7 linked regions of the Sus scrofa genome follow. The protein of the gene in region 5 interacts with the protein of the main gene of each other region in a pairwise test. Links are inferred from orthologs where the notes say so. Each region holds a gene or a part of one and is shown on either strand. Other genes may lie near its edges. The genes, in order: LATS1, FOSL1, FAM208B, RAB29, LDOC1, LNX1 and POLL.

Evidence for each region.
Region 1: the proteins of LDOC1 (region 5) and LATS1 interact in a two-hybrid assay, tested with the Homo sapiens proteins (2 studies listed by BioGRID and IntAct). The two-hybrid records come from large-scale screens. The link is inferred for Sus scrofa from reciprocal best matches to the Homo sapiens genes LDOC1 and LATS1.
Region 2: the proteins of LDOC1 (region 5) and FOSL1 interact in binary tests that used the Homo sapiens proteins (3 or more experiments, as listed by UniProt). The two-hybrid records come from large-scale screens. The link is inferred for Sus scrofa from reciprocal best matches to the Homo sapiens genes LDOC1 and FOSL1.
Region 3: the proteins of LDOC1 (region 5) and FAM208B interact in binary tests that used the Homo sapiens proteins (3 or more experiments, as listed by UniProt). The two-hybrid records come from large-scale screens. The link is inferred for Sus scrofa from reciprocal best matches to the Homo sapiens genes LDOC1 and TASOR2.
Region 4: the proteins of LDOC1 (region 5) and RAB29 interact in binary tests that used the Homo sapiens proteins (3 or more experiments, as listed by UniProt). The two-hybrid records come from large-scale screens. The link is inferred for Sus scrofa from reciprocal best matches to the Homo sapiens genes LDOC1 and RAB29.
Region 6: the proteins of LDOC1 (region 5) and LNX1 interact in a two-hybrid assay, tested with the Homo sapiens proteins (2 studies listed by BioGRID and IntAct). The link is inferred for Sus scrofa from reciprocal best matches to the Homo sapiens genes LDOC1 and LNX1.
Region 7: the proteins of LDOC1 (region 5) and POLL interact in a two-hybrid assay, tested with the Homo sapiens proteins (2 studies listed by BioGRID and IntAct). The two-hybrid records come from large-scale screens. The link is inferred for Sus scrofa from reciprocal best matches to the Homo sapiens genes LDOC1 and POLL.

Annotation. Positions count from the first base shown.
Region 1 is NC_010443.5:16,273,740-16,277,754, forward strand, and holds the start of LATS1 (serine/threonine-protein kinase LATS1), read left to right. Parts: upstream 1-1,215; 5' UTR 1,216-1,450; intron 1,451-4,015. UniProt on the Homo sapiens protein: Negative regulator of YAP1 in the Hippo signaling pathway that plays a pivotal role in organ size control and tumor suppression by restricting proliferation and promoting apoptosis.
Region 2 is NC_010444.4:6,428,965-6,432,957, forward strand, and holds the start of FOSL1 (fos-related antigen 1), read left to right. Parts: upstream 1-1,193; 5' UTR 1,194-1,442; coding exon 1,443-1,532; intron 1,533-3,512; coding exon 3,513-3,710; intron 3,711-3,993.
Region 3 is NC_010452.4:65,205,974-65,209,473, forward strand, and holds part of FAM208B (protein FAM208B), read right to left. Parts: coding exon 1,152-3,500; intron 1-1,151.
Region 4 is NC_010451.4:66,455,967-66,460,149, forward strand, and holds the start of RAB29 (ras-related protein Rab-7L1), read right to left. Parts: upstream 2,801-4,183; 5' UTR 2,702-2,800; exon of another isoform or gene 2,524-2,701; intron 2,406-2,523; 5' UTR 2,284-2,405; coding exon 2,160-2,283; intron 1-2,159. UniProt on the Homo sapiens protein: The small GTPases Rab are key regulators in vesicle trafficking. Essential for maintaining the integrity of the endosome-trans-Golgi network structure.
Region 5 is NC_010461.5:115,579,127-115,583,421, reverse strand, and holds LDOC1 (protein LDOC1), read right to left. Parts: upstream 2,801-4,295; 5' UTR 2,587-2,800; coding exon 2,146-2,586; 3' UTR 293-2,145; downstream 1-292. UniProt on the Homo sapiens protein: May have an important role in the development and/or progression of some cancers.
Region 6 is NC_010450.4:40,437,735-40,441,786, reverse strand, and holds the start of LNX1 (E3 ubiquitin-protein ligase LNX), read left to right. Parts: upstream 1-1,252; 5' UTR 1,253-1,624; intron 1,625-4,052.
Region 7 is NC_010456.5:112,608,058-112,611,203, forward strand, and holds the end of POLL (DNA polymerase lambda), read right to left. Parts: intron 1,899-3,146; coding exon 1,730-1,898; intron 1,330-1,729; coding exon 965-1,329; 3' UTR 501-964; downstream 1-500.

The sequences.
Region 1 (4,015 bases), on a different chromosome or scaffold from region 5:
TTTTGGTTTCCTTTGTCTTTTTTAGGGCTACACCCACAGCATATGGAAGTTCCCAGGCTAGGGGTGGAATCCAAGCTGCAGCAATTGGTCTACAGCACAGCCACAGCAACTAGGGATCCAACAAGTCTGCGACCTACACCACAGCTCATGGCAACTCCCAATCCTTAAGCGAGGCCACAGATTGAACCCTCATCCTCTTGGATCCTAGTCAGGTTCCTTACCGCTGAGCCACAAAAGGAACTCCCTTAAATGACTCCCTTTAGATCATACCTTTTACAAACTCTACCTGTGGAAGAGACTTTCAACCAAATGCTCTTGGAATGTAATCTTTTCTTTCATCATAAGTTTTCATATTTGAACTTCTGGAAATAGTAGCCAGCCACTAACTCAACATCAGAAAAAAAAGAGGCTTTGGTTTAAACGAATAATAGCTAGTCTCCAGCATAAATGTGATGAAAGGAGATATTTGAAAGTACTAACTGCATATATTTTCTAGAGGCAAAATTGGCAAAGGCCATGGGCAGAGAGTGGAGGGGATCTTCAAACATCATAAACCCAACGATCCCATCCCAAACTTCCAATTCCATCTAACAAGATAAAGCCTCTTTCGCTGCAGTCAAAATTATTCCAGTTATGGTAATAATGACTTCCTTTTATACCGATTCAGTTGACAGATTATTCAGTTGACAGAAATCTCTGAACCCCTAGTCTGTTCGTGTTCGCGAATATATTAATCTGACTGATTCAGAAAACAAACTCACGGATGTACTCGGGGAAAGAGTGCTAAGCAAACATCAGTTTATTTCAAAGCCTCTAGAAATTCCGAATCCCGAGGTCCACCGCGAGGTTTCAGAGAGCAACTCACGGCTGTTACCTTTTGGAAATTAAACTCTTGCAGAGGCGCACCTTTTATTCTACATTCGTCCTTCCACAGAAAGCGCTCAATTGAGAAAGACACTGAACTAAATGAGTGGGCTTGGGAGGCGGAGAGCCGAACGCCATCAGCCGTGGCGAGTCACCTGCGCAGCGCAAAGCGGGGGCGACGCGGGGCGACGCGCGGGCACACGCAGGGGGACGGGCGGCCGCGGAGGGCGGGAGGCCGGCGGCGGCGCGCCCGCTCCCCACGGCCGGGCGGGCAGAAGCCCCCAGTCCTCGGCCCCCGCGCAAGCGACGCCGGGAAATGCCCACATCCGGGAAACCTGCAGCGGAGTGCGGCGGCGGCGACACCGAGTGGAAGGCAAAATGGCGGCGGCGGCGGCGGCCTGGTGCTGAGGGGAGAGCCAGGTCCCCGCGACCTCCGCGACGGGCCGCGCTGGCCCGCGGCAGCCCCCCGGCGTCTCTGCCCGCCCTGCCCCACCGGGGACACTTGGGGTCCCTGGGACGGGCTCCGGCCGCCTCGACGCCCGCCCTCGGGCCCGTGGCCGCTGTCCAGGAGCCCCGCTCTCTGCAGGTAGGTCCGGGGCTGGCGTAGCGGGTGGGGCTCACTCTCTCCTCCGGAGCCCGCGTTGGCGGGGCGGTGGCCGTCGGGGCCCACGCCCATCCCCGCTGGCGGGAGTCCAGGGGCCGCTGCGGACGGGCGGGCCGGGCCGGCCCGGTACGGGCCCGATTTGGCTGGTTGCATGGACCTGAGCGGAGCCCTGCCCTGGGGAAGCGAGGGTTGGCCGCGCCCGGGGCTGGAGGAAGAGCCCCAGGCTTTGCGGCCTTGGAGGTTCAGGTTAGCCCGGGAAGATCCTGTCTCACTGGAGGCCTTGCGCGGACTGTTTTCGCTCACACCTCCCTCCACCCTTGTCTCCAACCCTCACCGGTCAGCGGTGTTCAGGAAGGAACGGATAGCGAAAGGTGATTGTGAAGGAAATGTGCAGTGAAGGAGCCACAGTTCTTTCATTCCAGAAGGACCTGCTCCTGGATATACCTTGAAGAAATTCTGAGAATTTCTATTTACAGTCCACTGTAAATAGGTTGCTGTTCATAGTTGGAAGGGATAGGAGAGATGGAGGGAGTATGTCTGTAAATTCAGAAAATGAAGGAAAGGAAGTTCAGGGGACATTGTTTATTGTAACTTCAAAAAGACTTTGTGCCACAAAGAATGACTCTCAGGTGAAGTGATTTAACCCCATTCTTTCCAGTTGGAAGCTATTTTCTTCTTCAGTTTAAAGTTCTTTTCTAAGGGAACAAAAATTAATGTCTGTTGACCCATATGTTAATACGACTCAAAATATTACATCGTTATCTAGAAGTTAATTCATAAATCTAGTGAGAACTATAATCTCGCACACAGTATTGTATCACTCCAATTTTGGAAATGGACTTGAACCATGAAGGGTGTCAGGTCTTATGGATTGTTATTGAGGACTAAGAATTTTTTGTCAGATTTCCACCATATAGAAGAAAAAGTCGGATATTATAATTGTAATGAATGTGCTCTGCTAAGGTATCTATGTTCGTGATTTAACTACGTTTATTTTTTTCCTTTAATTAGTTGACACACGGGTAAAATGAGCTAGTTGATTCCCTAAGGCAGTGGAGGAATTTGATTTAACAGTGAAAGAAGTAGCATTGTGTTCCTCTGATCGGCTGTTACTGCAAGAAACTAGATCATGATACAGGCTAGAAAAGGCGCATTTTTTCCTGTGCCTGAGTATTTAATAAATATGGTGACAGCCTTCAAAAGCAAATAAAAATATTTCTGCTAGATATATTTGGCATGATATGGCACATGTGGATTTCTTTCTTTAGGTTGAGTTTTTGTTTTTGTTTTTAATGCTCCTCCTTGTTACTCTACATAGTGTAGCCTTAGAACAGTTCCAGCTCTGGTTATTTAGTTTTTGCTCTAGATGTGATATTTAGATTAGTGGTGGATTTTTGTAGACTATGAAAGTTATTTAGTCATTGAACAACATTTTTATCAAGTAGAAATGGCAGTCATTTTTCAAATGATGATAAAATATAATGATTGTTCTCACTTTTGATAGGTTAACTCTTAGAAAGTGAATTGGAGAAAATGTCATCAGAATGCAGAGATTCTTACATATTACCATATGGACAGCTAAGACTATACTGCTAAGACAGTACTGTTGCTTTTCTCATAACTGATTTAGTCAAAGCTTTAAGATACCATCTTTTTTACAAGCCTAGTTCAACCTAAGGTATCAATTTGAAATCTTCTTATGTAATGGGCTCTGTTCTTTTCCTAAGTTGGGTAAGATATCAGCAGTATTTGTTTGTACTTATTGACATTTGTACATCTGATGAAGGTCCGAACTTTCTAAGAAATGGAGGTTTTGTCTGTTCAGTCTAACCAAGTTATCCCTTCAAAGAATGTGAGTCATGATCCCTTAGGAAAACTAAGATGTAGGTATGATAAAAAAGAGCCTTGGGGAGTTCCTGTTGTGGCTCAGTGGTTAATGAATCCGACTAGGAACCATGAGGTTTCGGGTTTGATCCCTGGCCTTGTTCAGTGGGTTAAGGATCCGTGTTGCCATGAGCTGTGGTGTAGATTGCAGACGCGGCTCTGATCATGAGTTGCTGTGGCTCTGGTGTAGGTCAGTGGCTACAGCTCCGATTGGACCCCTAGCTTGGGAACCTCCATATGCTGCAGAAGCAGCCCAAGAAATGGCAAAAAGACCAAAAAAAATGACATGGAAAAAAGAGCCTTGGGCTGTTTCAGGATATGTGGAGTCCATTCCTAGCATGACCTCCAGCTGGCTGTATGATTTTAATGGGGCCACTTTACCTCTCTGGATCCATTTACTCTGGATCAATTCAAATTATAATTTAAAATAAAATACACACACACACACACACACACACATCCAATATCCAAGATACCTCTGCTTTGTCAGTCTGTGCTTAGTGGGAAAAATAAGACAAGTACAAGAATAGGGCAAAAACAAGTTTTATTTGCCTGTGTAAAGTGCATTTGAAGTTCAGAGGAGGATAGCAGCTGGCACTTCAATGAAAGCTTCATGAAGGAAGCATTTGAATGGCACCATAAATGCTGGGTATAATTTCTACA
Region 2 (3,993 bases), on a different chromosome or scaffold from region 5:
AAGAGACAGAGAAGCAGCTTTGGGGCGGTCCTCTCAGCACCAACATATGTGAAAAGCTGTCTGTGAGGGCTTTGAAATCGCTTGCCCAAACCTGGGCTGGGAGCTCCCACAGCCCTGATTTGGCAACCTGCTTCGGCCACTTGCTTAGTGATCTTGGGCCCTTCATTTCCACATCTCTCAGCCTCACTTCCCCCATCTGTAAAATGGGGACGATAATGGCACCTACCTCGCAGCGCTGCTGGTCTTCGGCTGTTGATATTTGTCCCTGGCCTCACATTCATACAGACTTTTGATGTAATCTCCAAACAAGGCTAGTGACCACACAGTCCTGGAAGAGTAGTTACAGTATTTAAAGAAAATGATGTTTATCAGACCACAGGACAAGTGCCCCACTGCAGGCTTTCACTGCTTACAGAGGTTCTGAATGAAAACTTGTCCTGACTCCTGAAATTACCCTGCGAGTAGGGCAATTACATTGCATAGTATTTGGGGATAGTTCAAAGCATTATCATGTCATTGTAAACATTTAAAATATACACCATTTTTGGAGTTCTCTGGTGGCTCAACAGGTTGATGATCTGGCACTGTCACTGCTGTGGCTTGGGGCGCTGCTGTGGTGAGGATGCCATCCCTGGCCTGGCAACTTCTGCATACCAACGGGCACAGCCAAATAAGTGTGTGTGTGTGTGTGTGTGTGTGTATCTACCACTTTTGTAATCCTGGTTTGTCATTCACTTTTTAGTAAACCTGAACCTTAAGACAACGCCAGTGAAAGGGCTTCACACCACAGACTTGGATGGCGGTAGCACGGTTCCTGGCATGAAATAAGCACCCAGTAAATAATGATAATGATGATAATAATAATGCTATCACATTTGTAACCCATTTTACAGTTTCCAGACCCCTTTCATTCCAACCTCCCACGCGCGGCCAGGGCGCTGTGTGATTATTTCGTCCCATTTTACGGATGCAAACACTGAGGGCTCTGGGATCTGGTGGCGGGATCTAGGTCTGCGCAGGTGGAGGGCGAGGCGAGGCGGGGCGGGGCTGGGCGGGGCGCAGGTGCCTCCGTCGGCGGGGGAATCCTTCGCTCCACCTGGGCGCGGCGAGGAAATTGCACCATGTATGGGCAGCTACGTCAGAGGAGGCGGACCTGCCGCTGTCGCAGGGGGACGTCAAGTCCGCCCTTTTTCCCCACCAAAAAGCGGCTAGCCGGCTGTAGGAGGCGACGAAAAGTTCAGGGCGGACTGGCAAAAGGCGGTGCGATTGCAGAGGTGGAGCCCCGAGGTGACCAGCGCCGCTGAGGAACGCCCCCCCCCGCCCCAGTGGAAGTGGTTCAGCCCGAGGACTTTTCATTCATAAAAAGAAAAGACTCCGCGAGGAGCGAGTGAGTCAGAACCAGAGCCGCCGACACGGACCCCACAGAGCAGCCAGCCCAGGGCATGTTCCGAGACTTCGGGGAACCGGGACCGAGCTCCGGGGCCGGAGGTGCGTACGGCGGCCCGGCGCAGCCCCCGGTGACAGGCCAGCAGGTGAGAGGAACCCTACGCCCAGTGTCCCCAGGTGGACAGCGCCTGAGACGGTGCGGGCCGCTCCAGCACAATCCGGACCGGGGCCGGGAACCGCAGGAGGGAGTGGGGCTCGGAGGGGTGGCAGCGGATCCTGCCCATTCTCGGTTGTCCAAGGGCTCTTTTCCCCCCACAGCCCAGTGGGACGCGCGCGGCGGGGGGGGGAACGAAGATCTGCGAACGTCCCCTCTGTGGCTCGCGCTCTTTCCCCCTCTCTCTGCGGTCTCTCCGTCCCTCCGTCTCTGTTACCGTCTTTCCTTCCTCCTGTCCACCGCCGATTTCTTTGTCCCATCTGCGTCCGAAGGGGACCCCTTGTCCGGGATGAGTTCTAGTCCCGGCAGAATCAAAGAGAACTAAATTCCAAGAGCCGGAGTCTGAGCTGCGGCCGAGATGTCCCCTCGCACAGAGAGGATCTACCGGCGGGCTGGACCCGGCAGACTGGGAATCCTGGGCGGTCTGTCTGTGATCATCCCGGCGCCCGCCCGTTTGTCTGTCCCTCCCCATCCCGTCGCCAGATCCTTATCATCATCTCGGCGCAGTGGAGCCTGGTGGGCTCCGGGAGACCGGCTCTTGACCCTTTTACGGGATGCGTCCGGCAGAGACCGTGAGGTGCAGGGAGACGTGCGCGGGGTCAGGCTGCGGGCAAGTCCCGCGCCCCCGGCTCTCGGCACCAAACGGCGCCCGCTGCCGGCAGGGGGGAACCTGGGAGGCTGCAGGTGCCCATTTCCTGTCGAGGGGCCGTGAGCACGTGTCGCTAGGGGAGGGAAGGAGCGGCGTCCGTTCCGCCGAGTCACGGCAGCCGAGTCACGGTGGCTGACTCACGCGGGGCGCCCCTCCCTTCCTGGCCCGGAGGGGCCCGGGCCTGGACAACCTCGGGAGCTGGAGATGCCGCCGGCGGTACCTTGGCCCGAAACTGGGGTCACTGGGCCATTGGGCCCGCAGCACTAAGCCGGGGACACTGCTGTCCTGACTTGTCTGGGCTTGTGGGGCGCTTCCCGGACGACTGGGCGCCCACACCCAGGGCTTGAATCTAGTTCTTTTTCCAAACAGTAAGCCCCCATCTCAACCCATTCCTCACGTTTCTGGCTGGAAGGGAATTGTGGCAGGTGATACCTGGAGCACATACTGTGCAGCTCTGCCTGGTGCCGGGCAGTTTCCGCCTCATTTATCTTAACTCCTAGAATCTAAGACCCCACTGATACTAAAACCCATCATTATTTTGTAGCACAAAAATTGTTTTCAAGTTGCCAATTGAACTATGAGAGCTGCTATTCAGGGCCACTAAAGGGTACTTCTTAGCATCATTGAAATGCTGTAATCCCTCCCTGTGACAATATTAAAAACGAGGAGACTGAGGCACACTGAGATTAAATAATTTGCCCAGAGAGCCAGTAAATGGCTGAGTTAAGATCAAAGCCGGGATAGCCTGAACCCAGAGCAGTGGTCCTTGTCCACACTTACCAGGCTCTCTCACACACATCCTCTCACCTGATTCTCACAATCACCCTTGAAGCCAGAAGCTGTCACTCTCCTCTTCATGCTGATGAGACTCAGGCTGCGTGCAAGAGTGGGCAAGGGCCTGGCTTCCTGGGCACAAACCTGCTTCCCACTTACTGGCTGTGCGTCTATGGAGAACTGTTTTCCTGTCTGAAAATGAAGATACTGTTGTGTAAATTATATGAGTCAGGATTAGCAAAGTCGTTGGGCCAGTGCCTGGAATTCACACTTTCTTAGCTCCGATGGGAGAAATGGAGGCCCCAGAGGTTGTGTGACCTGCCTAAAGTCACACAGTTCATAAGCAGGGATGCCTGCCAAGCTGCGCCCTCTCTGGTCTCTCAGAACCAGCAGCTGCCTTGAGGGTGGGCAGCAGTGTGACTTCTGTCCCCTGGAAGCCCCTCCGTCCCTACAGACCTCATCCCTAGTCCTCTGTGTCTTATCCCTCAGAAGTTCCACCTCGTGCCAAGCATCAACGCTGTGAGTGGCAGCCAGGAGCTGCAGTGGATGGTACAGCCTCACTTCCTGGGACCCAGCAGCTACCCCAGGCCTCTGGCGTACCCCCAGTACAGTCCCCCACAACCCCGGCCGGGAGTCATCCGGGCTCTGGGGCCAACTCCGGCAGTGCGTCGCCGGCACTGTGAACAGGTAAGGAGCAGAGGCATTTGCACAGGTTCCTGTGCCCGCAGGGCTGCTGAGGTGAAAAAGATAAGCTCTTGCTGAAAAGCAGAACACAGGCTTAGAAGGAGGGTGGGGAGAATAGGTCCACTGGTGACTACTGGCCAAGGCAGAAAGTGATAAGAGCCCCTGGGGAGACCCAGAAGGCAAAGTGGTCACTGGTGGATCAGGGAAAACTTCCTGGAGGTGGAGGCATATTAGCTGAGAAATATAGGTGGGATTTGCATAGAGAGATTTGCATGTCCCTTCCAGG
Region 3 (3,500 bases), on a different chromosome or scaffold from region 5:
AAGCGCCCTTCATCTGAGACACCTCCCAGCGCCCCGTGACCCCAGGACGGCCAGCCTCCGAGTGCGTCTGCGGGGCCCTTGCTTGTGCCCTGTGCCCCCGAGCCTTGCCCACCCTTCTGGAAGCCTCCTCAGGCCCTCATGCTTTTCTCCGGTGGCACTGAGACTGACTGGAAGCACTCACGGAGTGACGTGTCCCAGTGACTCTGGAGCAGGAGCCACCAGGGGCCGCAGTGCGGTCCTGGCTCCAGGCCCTCCGAATGCACCGTGGTGGGGACTGTCACGCCCGCGATGGCGCAGATGCCATGAGCAGCTTCAGGTGTCTGATGTTACTCAGCAGCTCGGCGTTGACAGTTTGATCGTGGGCCACGTTTGTCACCCGACAGCCACCCTGGACTTGAGCCGGGGCTTGCACAAACGCTTCCTCGTCTGGCCATCACCACTGCAGACGCGAGGCCGGCGTCCCTCTCGGTGCTGCCCTGTACCTGCCTCGGCACCTGCCAGAGCTGGGCGCTCATCTCTAATGTCCCTTTTCTCGTGTCCCTCTTATCCCGAGACCCGAGACAAGCACAGAAAGGGGTCCTCACACGTCCACTTGGGAAGGACGCTCAGGTCCCCTCAACTACACTAATGGGTGAGCACAGGGAGGAATTTTTTTTGGGCTTTTTAGAGCTGCACCCGCGGCCTATGGAGGCTCCCAGGCTAGGGGTCGAATCGGAGCTACAGCTGCCGGCCTACACCACAGCCACAGCCACACGAGATCCTCAGGTCAGTACGCGAGGCCAGGGTTCACACCCACACCCTCACGGACACGTGTCAGGCTTGCTTCCGCTGAGCCATGGTGGGAGCTCCAGGATTAGTGATTAAAACCTGAACCTGCCTCTGGATTCTATTTGTGTCCACCCTGAATACATCTCCCCAAGTGCTGTTTTGTGAAAACAAGGCACCGCATCAGTTTTGAGAAATCACATAAATCTTCCAACAGTGCACACGGCAGACCCTCCAGCCTCTCCTCCAGCCCGGCGCGCACGGAGCTGTGGAGCTCAAGCACCCCCTGGTGCTGGCTTCTTTCTGAAGCTGAGGCTGCTCGGTTCCTTACGAAAAGACTCAGACGCCAAACGGACAGCAGCAGCAGGAGCAGCCCGGCCCTTTACCTTCGTCCTTAGGAAGAACGACTCGTCGGCTGTCTCCACCAGGTGGAAGAGGAAGGTTCTGGCGCAGGCCTCCTTCACCACCCGCTCGAGCTTGACGCGCAGACTGGCGCACAGGTCGGCCACCAGGTCCTCGTAGGAGGCGGGCCGCGGGCAGGGCGGGCCCGGCGCCGGGGCCGCGGCCTCGCTGGGCTCTGGGTCTCGGGGGGCGGCCTGGCTGCCGCTGCCGAGCAGCACCTTGTTGAACTCGGCGAACTCGCTGAGGATGAGCGAGATGTCGCCGCGCGAGTCCTTCCAGGGGCTGTTGTACTTGAGCTTGTGGAGGTGGAGCGCGGCCGCCTGGCTTCCGCCCGAGTTGGGAAGCGGGCTCCTGCCGTGGGCGCCCCGCTCCTTCCAGGACGAAGAGGCCTGGGCCATGCGGTGGGGCGTGTGGCCTCTTGCCCGACGACCCGGGGGTCTGGGGTCCGAGTGCACGACGGTCACCACCAGGGGACTTCGGCTCCGGGAGGCGGGCGCGGGCGCCGGGGCCGCCTTGGGAAAGGCGGGGGCCGAGGGGCCCGACCGCCGGGCGTCTCCGCGCTTCACCATCTGCTTTAGTTTATGCGCAAAACGCAGATATTCCAGATCCAAAGTGCTGCGGGTGAGGTCGGCCGCCCCCGGCCCCGTGTCCGTCCGCAGGCGGAGCGAGGCGCCCTGGGCCACGCCGCCGGGGGCCCGGCTCCGCGCCCGTGTCACCGGGAAGTTGGCGTAGGCGCGGGCCACGCCGCGGAGGTCGCGGACGCGGACGAAAGCGGGCACGCGCCTGGCGGGCTCCAGCCCGGGCAGCCGGCGCGAGCGGCCCCAGTCCTCGTCGTCGTCGCTGTGGCTCAGGCCCAGGAAAGGGTCGTCACTCTCGTCGGAGGCGCCTTTGTCCTCGGCACGCCTACACCGCGGAGCGCAGGAATCCCGGGCGTCTTCCCTGGGTTTCGCACACTCGCCAAGAGAGTCTTGATCCGAGTCTCCGGAAAGTGGCTCATAATGGATGTCAGGATTCGCACGGAGACCCGGGGGCGCAGGGTCCCTCGGGGCCCTCGGCCCCTCACCAGCGCTCTCAGCGCCAGAGACGCCACCACCAAGAGGGGCCCGAGATCCGGGGACAAAGGAGGCAGAAGGCGCTTGCCCGCCGCCCAGGCCGGCGGCCGCCGTGTCGGGGGGCGCATCGGCCCGTGAGCAGGGGGGCAAGGGCCCATGGCCCACCAGGTCCCGGCTTGGGCCCGCGGACCCGGCCCGCAGCCGGTGGAAGGCGGGAGGAGACGGGGGTCTCCACTGCGGACCAGCGCCTCCCAGGTCCACGGAGTCGCCGAGGGTCCCGGCCTCGGGGCCGTTATTCTGCAGCAGCCTGGCCATCCTCACGGCCGAGATCTCCTGCGTCTGCGGCCCTGGCCCCGCGGCTCCGGGGCCCGAGCAGAGGCCGGCTGCCGGCCGCTCCGCGTGGACCAGGCCCCCGGGGCCGGCGGCGCTGTCCACCGAGCCCGAGCGAAGGGACCTGACGAGGATGTAGCAGCGGCCGTCTGTCTTCAGGTCCCCGCCAAGGAGATGCTCCGGGGGCCTCTCGGGGCCGGCCTGCTCCCCCAGGGACAGACTGGCGTCAGCGGGCGCAGCCGCGGAGACAAAGGCCGCAGCCAAAGGCTGAGTTTCCAGAATGTGCCTGGGACTGAGGGGAGGGTCCCTGGAGTCCCAGATGAGGTGACTCACGTGGGGGCTTCTGTCCTCCACCGCCGCTGGCTGCAGGGGACTCCCTGAGGTCGCCTGGTTTCCCGGGGCATCTCTGTACCTGGCAGCCGAGGCAGGCTGCTTCGGCTCTGCGTCCCAGCTCGGTGCCCTTGCGGAGAGGGGGGGACCCTGGTCACGCTCCCCCGGGACAGCTTGCTCAGGGACTGCACCGGGAAGGGCTGAGCACGTCCCTCTCCTCTCGGGGGGACGCCTAAATACCAGAGGCGTTTCAGCAGGAAACGGCACTGGCGGTGCCCGAGGTAAGTTATCTTGTCCCACTGGAGGGGCTGGACCCGCCAAAGAATTGTCTTTTTCTGTTACGGCCATATCGACCGACTCCATCTGGGACGGCGGGTCACCGCTCTCACGCCGCGCCTCAGAGAGCTCCGCGCCGCAGGAGGACACAGCCCTAGCCGTCTGTGCGTCTGTGCCTGGTGCCTGTGGGTCAGGACTGGAAGCTGGTGACACTTCCTCAATCAAAGAACCGAAGGGGAAGTCTAAGGCCACATGCATCTCCTCTGCCACCTCAAGGGCACACGTTTCTTTAGAAAGGACGAAGGTCGCTGTCTGTGAAGTGTCACTGCTCCTGTCCTCATTAGC
Region 4 (4,183 bases), on a different chromosome or scaffold from region 5:
ATCCTTAGCTTGCTGAGCCACCAGGAAACTGCTCTTTTTATTTTATTTTATTTATTTATTTTTGTTGTTGTTGTTGCTATTTCTTGGGCCGCTCCCGCGGCATATGGAGGTTCCCAGGCTAGGGGTTGAATCGGAGCTGTAGCCACCGGCCTACGCCAGAGCCACAGCAACGCGGGATCCCAGCCGCGTTTGCAACCTACACCACAGCTCACGGCAACGCCGGATCGTTAACCCACTGAGCAAGGGCAGGGACCGAACCCGCAACCTCATGGTTCCTAGTCGGATTCGTTAACCACTATGCCACGACGGGAACTCCTGCTCTTTTTATTTTTTAAGATTCTTTTCAAAGATTTTATTTTATTCCAAGATTACTTTAAATCTTTGAAACTTAAAAACTTAATTTTGATGAATGTTATTAAGGAGGATTTTTTATTTTTTTAAATTTTTTTTGGTCCTACCTACAGCATGTAGAAGTTCCTAGGCCAGGAATGGAACCTATGCCACAACAGCAACCCAAGCCACTACAGTGACAACACCAGATCCTTATTCCACTGTGCTGCAAGAGAACTACAGGAGGATTTTTTTTGGTCTTTTTTGTATTTTTCTAGGGCCACAGCAACTCGGGATCCAAGCTGTATCTTCAACCTACACCACAGCGCACAACACCACCAGATCCTTAACCCACTGATCGAGGCAAGGAATCCAACCTGCAACCTCATGGTTCCTAGTCGGATTTCTTAGCCACTGAGCCATGACGGGAACTCCTGGAAGGCACTTTTAATAGCAATCTAAATGCATGTTAATTTTTTTTTTTTTTTTTGTCTTTTCTACGGCCACACCCATGGCACATGGAAGTTCCCAGGCTAGGGGTCTAATGGGAGCTGTAGCAGCCGGCCTACACCACAGCCACAGCAATGCCAGATCCAAGCCACGTCTTCGACCTACACCACAGCTCATGGCAACGCCATATCCTTAACTCACTGAGCAAGGCCAGGGATCCAACCGGCAACCTCATGGTTCCTAGTCGGATCCGTTAACCACTGAGCCACGACAGGAACTCCCGAAATGCATGTTAATTTTTTAAAATTCCATAATGAACACCAGCACACATTTTCAAAATTTACATTACCACAAGTTTTTTCCTTAAAGAAAAAAAAAAAGTTCTTTTTTTTTTTTTGGAGTTCTCTTGTAGTGCAGCAGGTTAAGATCCAGCATTTTCACTGCAGTGGCTTGGGTCGCCTCTGTGACGCTGGTTCAATCCCTGACCTGGGAACTTCATGTGCTGCAGGCGAGGCCAAAAAAATTAGTTCTTTTTACTGAAGATAAATAAATGTTTTTACTCTCCCTCTTCACCAGCTCACCCCTTCTAAACTTCTATTTAAAAGGCATTTCTACTTCTGAAAAGACAGTTGAGTCCAAAGGTCACACCTGGAATGAAATGAATTAACTCTTGGTGTTCCCTTCCTCATCCCCCCGCCCCCTAATTTGAAAGGAAAAGGGGTGGGAAAAACAGGTCAGAGAAGTGGTGTCTTTCAAGCTAAGAATTTCTACATTGCCTTTATTTAGGCAATTAATGGACAAAAAACACACAGCTCAGCAGCCCTGATAAGCATCTGACTGTGTGCCCCAGGGGTTCTCCCCTACAGGCATCTCCATTACAAAGCTAGGCTCCTTGAGGCCAGGTTAAACACCTTTCTGTGCCTTCAACAGCTGTCTGTAACTCCTGTGAAGGCAGGACAACAGTCCCTGGCTGGTACCTAACCAGATTCTCTGGAGCGTCTCCACTGCATCTGCTGATGGCAGAGATTTGCTCGTGACCGCTAGGAAGGCAGCAGGAGGAGACTTGAGTTCATAGTTCCCTCAGCGAAAAGCAGCAATTGCTCATTTTCTCATCTCCCTTCCCCATGTCCTTATCATCACACCTTAGTTTCATCTCTTTCCAGACAGTCGGCTCAGGCTGGAAAAAACCTAATGGGGAAACCCAAGAGTCACGCAAAACAGACCCAGCCTGCCTCCCTCTAGGATCCCAGACATCTACTTCCTGACCCAAGGAAAGCCCCAAGGATACCAAATTCCCCGTTATCCACCCCAACTAAGTCCACAGCTCGAGTCCGTGGTCCCAGCCTCCCGCCTACCCCGCCCCCGAAGGGACGTCTCACCTCCCACCGTGGACTTGTAGTGTTTGCTGAAGCTGTCCTGGGAATACCGCTGCACCAGGGACGTCTTGCCCACTGCGGCATCCCCCACCACCAGCACTTTGAACAGGTGATCGCGGCTGCTCATGGCTAGCGGGACCGACGTTTTAGGGAGGAGGGAAGTGGGGGAGTCGTTTATTTTAACTCCTTTGGCTCCGGACCCCGCTCAAACTGAAGTTTGGCATTTCTGCCCACTGCTCGTTGGGGTTGCTGTGACGAAAAAGCAAAAAAGGAAACTTTGCACTCAACCTATACGCGCTTCCTCCCCGCGCGGCCGCAGCCTGGGTGGGGCGCAGGACGCAAGCTCCGAGCCCCCGGCTATTCTCACCTTCTCCCCCTCCCGACCGGCTACGAGAAACGGGACAAGGCACCACGTTGCCTCACCCACCGGGACTTCCCCGGAGCTGTTCCAGCGGGCGACTGAATTTCACGGTTGGGTAGAAGATAGGGGACCTCTCCCTACTGCACAAGCCACATTTGGAGGAAAGAGCGCCTTACACATTTACCCCTTGACGTTGTACCGCCCCAGGTGGCGTAGTCTCTTGCCTTCCTCCGCATGCGTCACGTGCAGGGTTGCTTGGAGCACTACATTTCCCAACTTACCTCGGGGTGGAGAGACCTGGCCGAGTGTGGAGATTTCGCTCGCGTGGCTTTCTGGGATGTGTAGTTTATTCACTATTTTTGTTTTTAAAAACCTACATGAAGTTTCAAACACTTTCGACCGTTTGGAATCTTTTTTTCTTTTTCTTTTTTTTGTCTTTTTGCCTTTTCTAGGCCCGCTCCCAGGGCATATGGAGGTTGCCAGGCCAGGGGTCTAATTGGAGCTGTGGCCGCCGGCCTACACCAGAGCCACAGCAACGTGGGATCCTAGCCGCGTCTGCGACCTACACCACTGCTCACGGCAATGATGGATGGTTAACCCACTGAGCAAGGCCAGGGATCGAACCCGCAACTTCTTGGTTCCTAGTTGAATTCGTTAACCACTGAGCCGCGACGGGAACTCCGGAATCTTATTTTAAAATAATTTTGGAATAGAAAAGCTCTTTCGGGGGCGATTTGTTCGACATGATCTTGCCTGCGTAAATCTGTCCCCAGATAGGTTTCTCATTATCTTTCAAAGTTTTGTGGAGCTAAGATTAAACATTATCCTGTAGATTTCACACATTACTCCACTAACAAAAGCTCAACCCTCTTCTCTCAGGATCCAAGTGAAGTATATTTCCTGCTCTTTCAGTTAGATAGACACATCAGGAGCTTGTGAACATAAGGAAGGTTACTAGTTCTTACATTTTTTTTCAAATGCATCTATCAATCAAGTCCAGGGACACAATTAAGAGATAGACTCCTAGAAAAACCTATGTTGTTAAATGTTATTATTAACATTTAATAATTAGCTATAGCAGTAAAAATAGAAAACAATAGCTGGGTCATCATTCTCACTTCCACAATCCCTAGTCATACTACCTTCCTCATACCATTTGAGCTGGAGTACACTGAGAATCCTCTTCCATTTTTTGTCGCTGTTGCTCATGAATAATGATTAAACTACAATTTTGCAAATACTTTTAATTTTTCAGCCCATAACTTTTTGGACATGCCTGCCCTTTAGGTAGGAATTAAGCACACACGAGCTTCACCGCCAAACAAAATAAGCTCCATTTTCTTTTTCCGCTGCCCGTGCCACCCCACCCCCGTCCCCCTGCCGCAGGTGGAAGTTCCTAGGCCAGGGGGCGAATCTGAGCCCTGCCACAGCTGTGCCAGGTGTGCCACAGCAGCAGCGATGCTGGGTCCTTAAACTATTGCACCTGGCCAGGGATTGAACCGGTGCCTTCACAGAGTCAAGCCAGATCATTAACCCACTGCACCTCAGTGGGAATTCCAGTAAGCTTCATTTTCTGTTTTTCCCAGGAGTAGAAGAGAAAGCAATAGAGCAATGGGAAAATAGCCCTGCTCAGGTCTTTATAGGCTGCCACCTATGTTCTGTAAGG
Region 5 (4,295 bases):
ACCCTACAGAAACAACTTTCTTAGGTCCAAAAGATGACTCTTGCTCTAGACTTTGTCTGTTCACCAAGTAAACTGGTTTTCTATCTGACTTCATGTCAGATCCCAAAGAGTAAAAATGAACTCTTGTCATGCTCTCATTTCCATTCTCTCTGCTGAGCTTATTCTGCTCCTGTTCACTCCTAACACCTTCCTACTGAAGCCCAGCTCAACAGCAAGAGACCTGTTCCCTGTATCTCATTGAACCCACAATGTAAGGTTTATTGGTACAAATAAAACACTCAGCATCAAAAGGTCTTAAACAAGAAGGAATTTTATTATCTAAATTAGAGGTTCTAAAGTAGGGCTGGTTCCCGGCATGGTACAGAAGACATCTGGGCAGATACATGTAAGAATCAGAATTCTGAACCCCTCAAATCCTCCTGACAGTTCCTGGCTGGCAGCGATAGGCCCCACAAATCCCCTAATCAGGCTTCCCTGATTTAACATTTCAAAGACTTAACCTGGGGTTATGGGCTCACAAAAGTAGAGATTATTCTCAGCACTCACCCCACTCCCTTAGGGCCTCCAGCCCTCCAGGCCCACAAAAAGATCTCAGCACAGCTCAGACAGCATTACAAGATCTAGTATGGGAGATAGCCAGGCATCTTGTCGATTTCTACAGGCAGGAATCTGGGGCACACAGATGGGTGGGGATCTTAAGGGTTATCTGCCCAAGGAGGATGAAACATTAAAATCTGGCTCCACTTATGGGTGCATTTACCCAGGACTCAGGATTTAACATTAGCTCAAGCATCTAAAATCGGTATTGAAACAATGTGCTACCTTGTTTATGGAAGCCTGAACTCAAACAGCACCCTGCAAGGAATAAGAGTTAAGAGGCAGCACTTGCCTGGCAGGGCTGAGAAAGAACCCAAAAGCTCAGGAAGACAGGAATATGGTATGTGCCCTGATGTACGCCTATTGTCCCATTCCGATTAGTAATAGTGCCCCCTTTTTCTCTCGAGTGTCCCAGTTTGGGATGGTGTGCCATCTACTCAACTACCCCTTATTCATCCCATCCTGGAAGCCCCAGAGGACACTCACTTCACCAGGGCTTTAAAAAGTGCCTTGGTGAGGGGAGCACCAGTTTCCCTATAAAGCTCTGTAGTAGCAGTCCTCTATTGCCCAGACATGACAGTAGAGAATAATGGGATTGAACTAGGCTCTCTGATATCAGTAGGAATAATGGGAGTCAGGGTGAGAGTGGCAAAGGCCAATGATAGCACTTAACCATTAAAAGACGCTCTTTTTTTTCCGTAGTGCTTGATATTTATTGAAAAGAATGCAAATGCTTTTTCTATGTAGTATTGAGGAGCTGGGCTGAGTACCTGCTTTTGTCTGTCTGGTTTTTGTTTTTAGTATTTTTGTCCAAATGCACACAGCTGTGGGACTGCTTCAGTTTTAAAAGAAAAATGACAGTTGTGCAAAACTGGTGCATAAGAGAAATGTCAATAATTTGGCTGCCAGGCACAACGGGCCCCTGCAGCAACCTGGTGAGGCAGGAGAAGACTCTATGAGTTAGGAAAGGAGGGAACGAACCAGGTGCAAAGATTCGCCCCTCGTGGGGGGGTGGGGTGGGCGTGAGCAGTCCAAATCAATGTCCCAGGTGGTATAGCCAACTAAAAGCATCTTCTAGGTTGGTCCTTGTCTCCAAAGGCCTGGTCTGTCTGTCGCTGGAATGTGATGGAGGTTGGTTAGGTGGCAGCGTCGGTCTTTGGGCAGATGTAGGCCTGACAATCGGCAGGGCTGTGGGTAGTCTGACCAGTTTGTAACAGTCTGCCCTATAGTTGGGGCTCAGAACACAGTTCAAATTAGCAGGGTTGGGCCCTGGGACTGGCCTGAGTGGGAGGCAGCGCACTTCAGAGAGGCCCCAGCCCCAGCAGCAGGTAACTGTAGCACTATTCCCAGAACAAAGACAAACACTACGGGGGGGGGGGGGGGGGGGGGGGAGCGGTGAATAAGGAAGAGAACCAGAGCGAAGACTAGGAAGACTAGGGAAGCAGATAGGGAGCGAGGGAAGTGTCGCGGCTCCGGGAGGAGCGAAGCGGGGCGGGGGGTGGTGGCGGCGTGCAGGGCCCACCCCCCTAGGCCCGAGGGTCTCCCGGCCTAGTAATCAGCTTCTTCATCTTCTTCGTCGTCTTCTTCGTCGTCATCCCAGCCAAAACACTGCTTCATCTCATCGAGGAAGGCCCGGTAATCACCTAGGATGGGGCTATCCATCTCAATGTAGGGCACCACCCACTCTTCGGCTTCCCCGGTGAGCAGGCTGATTAGGAATGCCACCTTCATGGCGTCGTTGCAGAACCGGTTCTCGTTGACGAGCATGTAAGACGCCGTCTGCACGATAAACTCAGGGAGGCGGGAGCTCTCACCGTTAAACGTTTCGGGGAAGGGCACCGGGCAGCTCGGCGGACGTACCTGGCGCAGTAGGGTGGCCCTCTCGCACACCAGCAGCCGCAGCTGTTCCATGAGCTGGCTGTTCTCGATGCTCAAGGCGCGGTGCCGCATCAGGAGCGCGTGCAGCAGCAGTACCAGCTCGTCCACCATGGCGAACAGCTTGTAAGAGCAAGAATGGGCTCAGCTCGGTTCGGATCGGCTAAGGTGAGCAAGGAGGCCTTGCAGGAAGTGCGTGTCCGCGGAGGCGCGCGGCGGCCAGGGGCGAGAGGCGGTGCGCGCAGGGGTCCCGGCAGCTGCGCAAGCTCCACCCACACAGCGGCTCTGACGGCCGGCACGCCGGCGCCGCCCGCTTGGAGGGAGGCGGGCACTGGAGAAAGGAGGGGCGTGGCCAGAGTGGAGCGGACAGAGGGAGGGCGTGGCCAGGCAAGGAGGCGGGCAGGGTCTCGGGCTGCTGGCTCGCAGTTCTCCCGGCCCGTGGATAAAGGCAGTGGGGGGAGATCCAGCCCTAGATGCGGGCCAGGCCTTAGCCAAGGCCGAGCAAACGCTAAGATCCATCTCCCAGAGAGGGTTAACCTGCTCAAGTTTAAAGGATTAACCACCCTTCAACCCAAACGACTCAATGTTCCTCGGTGGGTCTGTGGCCACCAGATTCCATTTATGTGGTTTTAACACATTTCTTTGCGTGTTTAAATCTCCCTCACTCAGAGAACTATTAGCAATTCTGGCTGCACCGCAGGAGTCACATCCTTTAAGAGTTATGAAAGACGTTCAGGAGTCCTGTCTTTCATGACAAAGTAATACTTAAAAAGAGGTTTTTCTTTAGTTGTAAAATAATATTGTGTACCTCTATCCTTTTGTTTAAAATTACTTTTAAATAGCAAAGTGTAAAAAGTTCTGCAAAAGTTAGTATCCAATCACCATTTGCATGAGTCCTGCCTATCTTTGACTCTATTTCATGTCCTACTACTGGTTATTGTTCTTTGCTTAACAATGAACACATGTGTTTTTAAAATAGTTTTGTTTTCTACTTTGAATGTGATTATTCAAATAGTTGACAAATAAGTCAGGGTGAGGACCTTGGGGCCAATATATTTTTTTAGCTTTGCTTTTTAAATATATCAGCAGTTTAATTACCTGGGGATCTCTAAACAGCACTACCACCCTAAGGCCAGCCCTCCTTTCTCACACAGACTGTTGCAGCTCATCACTTAGCTTCCACTCTTCTCTTCCTCAAGTTGTGTGTGTGTGTGTGTGTATTATATACATACTCCAGAGTAGATATAGGAATCCTTTAGGACAAACATTAGATCTCTTTACTTTCCTGCTCAAAACCCTCCAATAGTTTTTCCCCCTTCGCTCAAAATAAAAACCAAAGTCTCGGTAATGGCCTATCAAGCCCTGCCTCACTCCCTTTGCCTTGTCCCAGTTCCTGCTCTGCTGTCATCACACTGTCCTTCTTGCTGAGGCTCACACACACTGAGTGGCTCTGGCCTCAGGATCTTTGTACTTTCTTTTTTGCCTCAGAATGTTCTCCTGGTTTTACTGCCTGACTCTTCCTCCATTTTCAAAGCGGACTTTCCTAACTACCTCATCTATCAGAGCACCCCACTCTCTGCCAGTAACCTCTAACGTTTGCCTTGCTTCATTTCTCTACATAGCATTTATCCTACTAACAGCCATCATATCACATAGCACTTTGTTTATAGGTCAGCTTCCCCTTTAAAATGTCTGTGTGGACAGAGGCTTTGCTTTGTTGGTTGCTCTATCACTAATGCAAGAAAAGTGCCTGGCCCAGAGTAGAAGCTTCATAAGGGTTTGGTGGATAAAGGAATCTCAGGGTGCAGATGTTAGGATAAAAA
Region 6 (4,052 bases), on a different chromosome or scaffold from region 5:
CAGTGGTTAATGAATCCGACTAGGAACCTCAAGGTTGCGGGTTCTATCCCTGGCCTCACTCAGTGGGTTAAGGATCCGGCGTTGCCATGAGCTGTGGTGTAGGTTGCAGACACGGCTCAGATCCTATGTTGCTGTGGCTGTGGTGTAGGCCAGAGGCTATAGCTCCGATTAGACCCCTAGCCTGGGAACCTCCATATGCCATAGGAGCAGTCCTAGAAATGGCAAAAAGACAAAAAAAAAAAGAATCACGGTGGACAGCCAGGTGACAGCAGCCAGCAGTGCCCCCGTGGATTAGCAAGAGGCAGGGGTCCCTGGGCTAGGTGTGTTCTGTGTGCAAGTTACCGAAAGGTAGCACCGATTCATAACTCCAGGGCAAGACCGCTTAGCTAGCTGATGATCTGTGGTTCTGTTTAGAATTCCATTCCCAGATCGAAGAGTTTCTTTGGCCACCACCGGAGCTGTCAGACCACAGAAGTACCTAAGCCAACAGGCGGGAAAAACAGGGCTTAGAAGAACACCCTTCCAGAAAGGCAATTTCTACATTTTTAACCAGCTGGGTGACTTGGCAGGAGTGACTTAATCTTGCTAATCCTCAGTTTCTTCATCCACAAAATGGGGATGAGAACTATACGCTTATGTCAAGGATTAAATGAAATAATGCAGGGGAGGTCGTTAGCCCAGGACCCAGCTGACAGTAAAGTCTCCATAAGTGAAGTAAGCAAGCAAAGACAGTGCCGCTGCTGATGACCGTGACCTGGAAGAGTAGGTAGAAGAAATCCTTATTGAAACGATAATCCTGTATCTTTAGAGGGTATCTTTAAATGTCTTATCTATATCGTTAAAAGTCTTAGCTAGTGTCAGCCATGAACTCGCTCCCTCTTTTTCTTTGTCTAAAAACATTTGCCAGTGTTCCGTTACGAGAGATGCTGCCTATGGAAAATCTTTGAAAGATTTGGCAAGGCATCGGAGCGAGTCAGGACTGCTTGATTTGTCTGAGATAGATTTCATGCTTCTGAGCTAGAGGCACGCTTCTTCGCAGACTTAAAAATGAAAAGATGCCCAGGATTCTGAGACCCGTCCAGGCAGTGGCCAGCTCCCGCCTGTTCAGGAAGTGGTCCTAGCATGATGATGTCCCAGCCTGGTGCTGACCTGGAGGGGCAGTGACCCTGTGTTTATTTCCTTGTTGATTTCCCTTCCCTGGTTCCAAGCTCATTTTCCCATTGCCTGCAGGAAAACAACATCCAGGGGTGCGGTAGGTCTGATTTGGCAGCTCTAAAGGTGAACAAAAGGATCCTGGCTTTGGCGAGAGCAGGAGGAAGTTGGAGGGGGCCTCGGCCCCATGCAAACCAGAGCAGACTTGTTACCGATGCTCCTGGGTGGCTGTTCTGCGGGGGCCTCTCTCCCCTGGTTGATGGATCAGCTCTGTGCAAAGCCTGCAGACGGGGCCTGGGATGAGCTGATGAACTGCAAAGCGGGGTGGTTCTCATGCGTGTCTGGAAGACAGGCCACAGGAAAGAGGAAGAGTATTTTTCTGGGCTACTGCTGAGTCAGAAAAACTTAGCTCCCAAATGGACTGTACCAAGAGGTCTTACCTGGCTGGAAACTGATTCACAGCACAGCAAAGGTAAGAGGCCTTCTTCCTCCAGAGGGTGGCATCAGACAATTGGAGAAAACTTTGCCCCAGACTATCCCAGCCCAGCCTCCACCCTCACCCCCACTGCACTGCACGCAAACACATGCATACACACACACAGACACACACACACCCAAGATGTTGAGAACCTAGAGATATCTAGGTCTGTCTTTTCCAAAACACTCTAGAAAGGCCTCAGGATATTTGCTCTCTTTAGGCTTGATTTATTTTTTTTCTGCATTCTTCACGACACCTCTTCTTTTATTTTCAAAAATAAAAACTACATATATACATATGTAAATTTTTTTTTTTTACTGGCCAAGCAAGTCAGTAAATCATAAGTAATCCCACTAATAATGATTGGGTTTCTGTGACATTATTCGTCATCAATACTCAAAATACATTCACGCATTTTATCCCATTTCGGCAGTAGAAATAGGCATCATCACTGCACTTTCACCTACAGAGCAACTGAGGCCCAGAGCAGTGGACTTGCCCAGCAGCAGGTAGGAGGTGAGACAGTCCATCTCATTGCCGCTCCGCCTCTTTTCAGCAGACTAGTGACTCTCCTCTCTAAACCAAATACCAGGCTCCATTCTCTGCCACATTCCCAGCACACGATCTGATGAGAGGATGGAACCGGAGCAAGGAACTCCCCTGGACAATCCAGAAACAGAGAGTCACGGGGTCTAGTCCAATACGCCACCGCATTGTATATCCCTGTCTGCTTCTCTCCATAGGCATTGACTCCAGTTCAACAGATGTTGATCAGCGCTGGCCCATGTGCCCAACTCTGGGTCACGTGTCAGGGCGCAGGGCAGACTGGATGCCCAGGTGGTGCTGAAGGAGTGGGAGCTGGGAGAGGAGTTTGTTTATGAGAAGGCTTTCCATGGGAGGGGAGCCTTACACCAGGCTTAGCGTGACGTGCAGACTTATATTGAGGGAGAGCAATGCAGATCAGCGCACCCCTCCCCCTGTCCCCTGGCCGCCCCAGGTAGGGAGGGAGTGAGCATTTACAGCAAGACTGGCAGCGGAGGAGCAGAGGGGGTACTGAGCAGACTGGGAAGGTAGACCATCTGGATATGACTCTTGGTTCTACCGCCTAGTAGCTGTGTCCTGGGGTGACTCAGATAACCCCTGTGACCTCAGTCTTCTGACACGTAAAGTGGGAACAGTGGTGATGCCTATTTCATGGGGTTGTCTTAAGATGTCAATGCGATGATGCATGTGAAATCTTTGCTGGCACCCAAGTGCTCAGTTCATACTAACTATTTAACTGCCATGTACCTGGCTCCATGGGAGAGGAGCCCTACCCTCAACTGGACCACAATATTATGGGTTAGTTGTGTGTAACCCACTATAGGCAGTGTGCTAAGTGCTGTGAGGTCACAGAGGAGGGATCGGTTAAGGATACTTGGTTGAGTGTCCTGGGCGGTCTGTTGAAGGGAGAGGGTCGGAGGAGAGGTTTCATGGCAGAAGCCCTGTTGTAGTAAGGTGGCTTGCATCAAAGCTATACTGATTTGATTTTTTTAAAATATATTTCTGAGTATTTATATAAATGTTTAATTTCCTATAATATACTGACTTGATTTTGAATAGCAACTTCAGCCCCACCAGATGCGTGGTATGACTGTGTTAGTCTGCCAGGCTGCATAACAAAGGACCACAGCCTGGGTGGCTTCACCAACAGAAATGTACTTTCTAAAGTTCTGGAGGCTCTAAGTCCAACATCAGGGTTAGGCCACTCTGCCGGGCTTGCAGAGGGCCCCCTTCTTACTGTGTCTCACGTGGTCATCCCTCTTTGCACCTGCACCCTGGTGTCTCTCTGCATGTCCAAATTTCTTCTGGGAAGGGCATCAATCAGGTTGGATTAGGGTTCACCCTAGGGACCCCTTTTTGATTTACTCACCACTTTCAATGCCTCATCTCCAAATCCAGCCACTTTTTGAGATACAGTGGGGCTTTAGAATATAAACTTGAAGGGACATCATCCAGCCCATAACAATGAGTTTGTTTCTAAGCCTTTCCAAGCCTTTTCACTCAACTAGAAGATGGGGACAGTACTTGACATGGACAGTACTTAACATGGAGACCCACTGTGATCATCACAAAAAAAAGACATGGAGTTCCTTCCCATTGTGGCTCAGTGGTAATGAATCTGACTAGGAACCATGAGGCTGTGGGTTTGATCCCTGGCCTTGCTCGGTGGGTTAAGGTCCTGGCTTTGCCATGAGCTGTGATGTAGGTCGCAGATGTGGCTCGGATCCCGCATTGCTTTGGCTGTGGTGTAGGCTGGCAGCTGTAGCTCCAATTCAACCCCTAGCCTGGGAACCTCCATATGCCACAGGTGCAGCCCTAAAAAAAGCAAAAAAAGAAGAAAAAAAAAAGAACACATGAAACACCTCTCCCAGCCAGTTTT
Region 7 (3,146 bases), on a different chromosome or scaffold from region 5:
ACTAGCTGGACTCTCCTAGCATCTCTATCAAACTAAGGCCCTCAGCTCATCTTTCAGTCCTCTACCAGCCCAGCCTTCTCTAGACTCCCAGCATCCTCACTAAAGTAGGTTTCTTAGTTGTCCCCAAAACTGCCCCTCACCTCCTCCAGACAGCCCTCCCTGACTGCCTCAGCCCTGTCAATGGCACACAGGTCACCATTTAGTTGCTCCTAATGAACTCTGTCACCTTTGTTCACATCCCATATCACGTGATCTAGGGCAGGGCCCACAGGAGATGCTGATGGGTAGAGAGGAACTCCCGGGGCCTGACTCCACGCATTCTCCCTTTTAATGTCCACTCCTGTCCCCTTCTGAGTTGTTCAGGAACTGGCTCAGGCCTGGCCTGTTTGGAGAGCAGTTAACTTGCCTCTCTGGGCTCCCATTCAGCTCCTATCTCTGTCCCTGCCCAGGTGGAAGAGGGTGGGCCGAGGCCTCAGCAGCTCACAGATCCACCAGGCAGGTTGAATGTCAAGTGCACTTTACTGGGCCCCTTAGCCTTCAAATGCGGTCCTCATTGAACCTGGGGTGCCTCTTCTCCACACTGCCAGCTGCACAGGAAGTGGGGTGGCCAGAGGGAGGGCACGTGGAGTGGCTCATTCTCCTGTTCTGAAGGGTCTTAGGTGATGCTGGGCTACAGCTGCGTGCCTCTCCCCACAGCCCCCATCCCACTTCTAGGGACACCTGGGCCTTTAGCACAGGAAGCTCGCTTCAAACCAGGCACCAGCTCCTGCTTCAAATGGGGCAGGGGCAATGGTGAGGCAGACGGGGCAGCAGCCTGCTCCTGGCGGGGAGAGGGCTGGGCAGACCCTGGAAGCTGGCTGGCCCTTTCCATCAGGCCAGAGGAGGTGGTGGCTGAAGTAGTGAGGTTCAGCCTGGTGAGGCTGGAGGGATGGTCCCGCTTGACACCCCCTCCCCCAGCCATGGGTCACCAGTCCCGCTCAGCTGGTTCTCGGTAGGGCAGGCCTAAGAGCCTGAAGACATCCTTCTCGGTGGGGGTGGGCAGCACCCGGCCAAGCCCCACCTTGAGGCCATGGGCGTCCCGGACCACAGCCGTGCTGAGGGCATGCTCCGAGAGGCTCATGCCCTTGGTCTTGGCCAGCGCCCGCATGGAGCGGTTGAAGTGGGCAGAGCCGGTGAAGTAGAGCAGGGCGCAGGCAAACTCGCTGTAGGGAACGACGATAATGTCCAGGCGTCGGTGCCGCCTCCCTGGCCCTGGGAGCTGGCACACGCCCAGGTACTTCTGCTGCTGGCCGTGCTGCTCCTGGCTCACCAAGTCATCCGTCAGGAACCCTGGCCCAACACAGAAGGGCTGCTGGGAGGCCGAGAGCCAGGCCCTGGGTCATTCCCACCTCCCAGGCCTGTCCCCATCATCCCGGGGTCCTCTATTCCCAGCTCGTCACTGGTCTGCTGGATGACCTTGCCCTCTCTGGGCCTGTGTCCTTCTCTGTAAAAGAGCAATTCCTCCCCACCTCCCCTCTGGCGGCACAGAAACATCGGCCGAGACACTCGGCTGCTGGTTTAACTGAGCACCTCTCGGGAGGTGTGGGGAACTGAGGCATCTCTTCTCGGAAGTGGCTCCGGCCACGAGAGAGCATCCGTCCCCTGCTTCTGGCCTGGAGATTAGGAGGCTGTCCCTCCTGGGCACCACCCTGCCCGTGCCCACCTGCTCACCCAGATGTAGGGCTTATACCTCGCTGCCGGAGGCTGTCCAGAAGGCGGCTGAAGATGCCTTGGTGAGACCGGCCGTCCGGGTGGGTGAGTAGCACGTCCACATCACCACAGGTTGCCCTTCCGCGTCGGTACGAACCACAGGCCACGCACAGCAGCCCGGGGTTGAAGGCTTGAGCTGCTTCCCGGACCTGAGCAAGGGCAGCAAGTGGGTGAGGGAGGTGGGCCTCAAGCCCTGAGGGGAGCTCCTCTCCACGGCAGCACGGGGGCTCCCCTGACCTGGGGGCCCGCATGCCGCCCTTGTGTCCCCAGCCAGTCCCTGGATCCGTGACCCCAGCTGAGGGAAGGAGCCCCAAGACACAGAGGGCAGAGCTCTACCCTGGGGAATGGCCGTTCCCTGGCTTCACTAGGAAAGAGAAGAAAGCATGCTCACACCACTGGGGCTGGCAGAGGGGAGGCAGGAGAAGGGGTGCTTGGATCTGAGGGTAGGTATCCATCCTTCTCGTCGGAGCTCCTTGAGAGCAGAGGCACACCTTCTCTGGGCTTCTGCCCAACCCACATGTCCAGGTCTGTGAGACTCCACATGGGACAAAGGGCAGGTGCCATGAAGCCCTCAGCCAGGTTTCGGCAGCCCCTAGTTTCTTGGGATTTGGAGCCAAAGTCAGAGTGTGAGTTGGGGCTTGAGGCCTGAGCAGGTGGCTGGCAGGGCGCCCTGGGTGGGGAGACGGAGCCCAGAAATATAACTGAGCACGTTGGAAAGGGAAGGAGAGAGAGCAAAGTGGAGGCAATTCTGAGCCAATGTCCACATCCTTACGTGGAGGACTGGGGCTCTTGGGGAGGGCACGGAGCCAGAGGAGACTGTCTACTGAAGGATCGCTGCACACTGACGGGGATAAGCCCATCAGCCCCACCCCAGAACCGCTGAGGCCTTTCCTATGCAGATGGCCTCCCTGTCTCCACCCTGGGACCCAGAGATTGCCGGGTACCTCGATCCTCCTGACAGGCAGGCTCTGCTAATCCCTTCAACTCCCTTCTTGAGCCTCCCAAGAGGATGGGAGGAGGCCAGGATAAGTAAGCCCATCAAAACCTCCTAAGGCTGGAGCCTGTAAGTGGGGAGAGTGGGCCAGATGGGGAGCCACCTCTGTTCCAGAGGGTCGGGGCTGGAGCCTTGCTGGGACATTCTCCAGGCCCAGATACCGTGGCTGAGTGGCAGGTTGTCACTAGCCCTAAGGCCGGGTGATGGGTGGACAAAGGGGCTTGCCTGTCCATTCCATACTGCCTCATAGTCATGTGGCCCAGAGCAGAGCTGGAGGCTGATTGCAGCTGAGCTCGGCCCACATCCCCCTATCAGAGTCCCAGCCTAAAGTGAGCAAACTAGCCCCTAATCCAAACGCCAACTCTGATACATCTAACCCTAAGTGTACCCTCGTCTCCCTCTA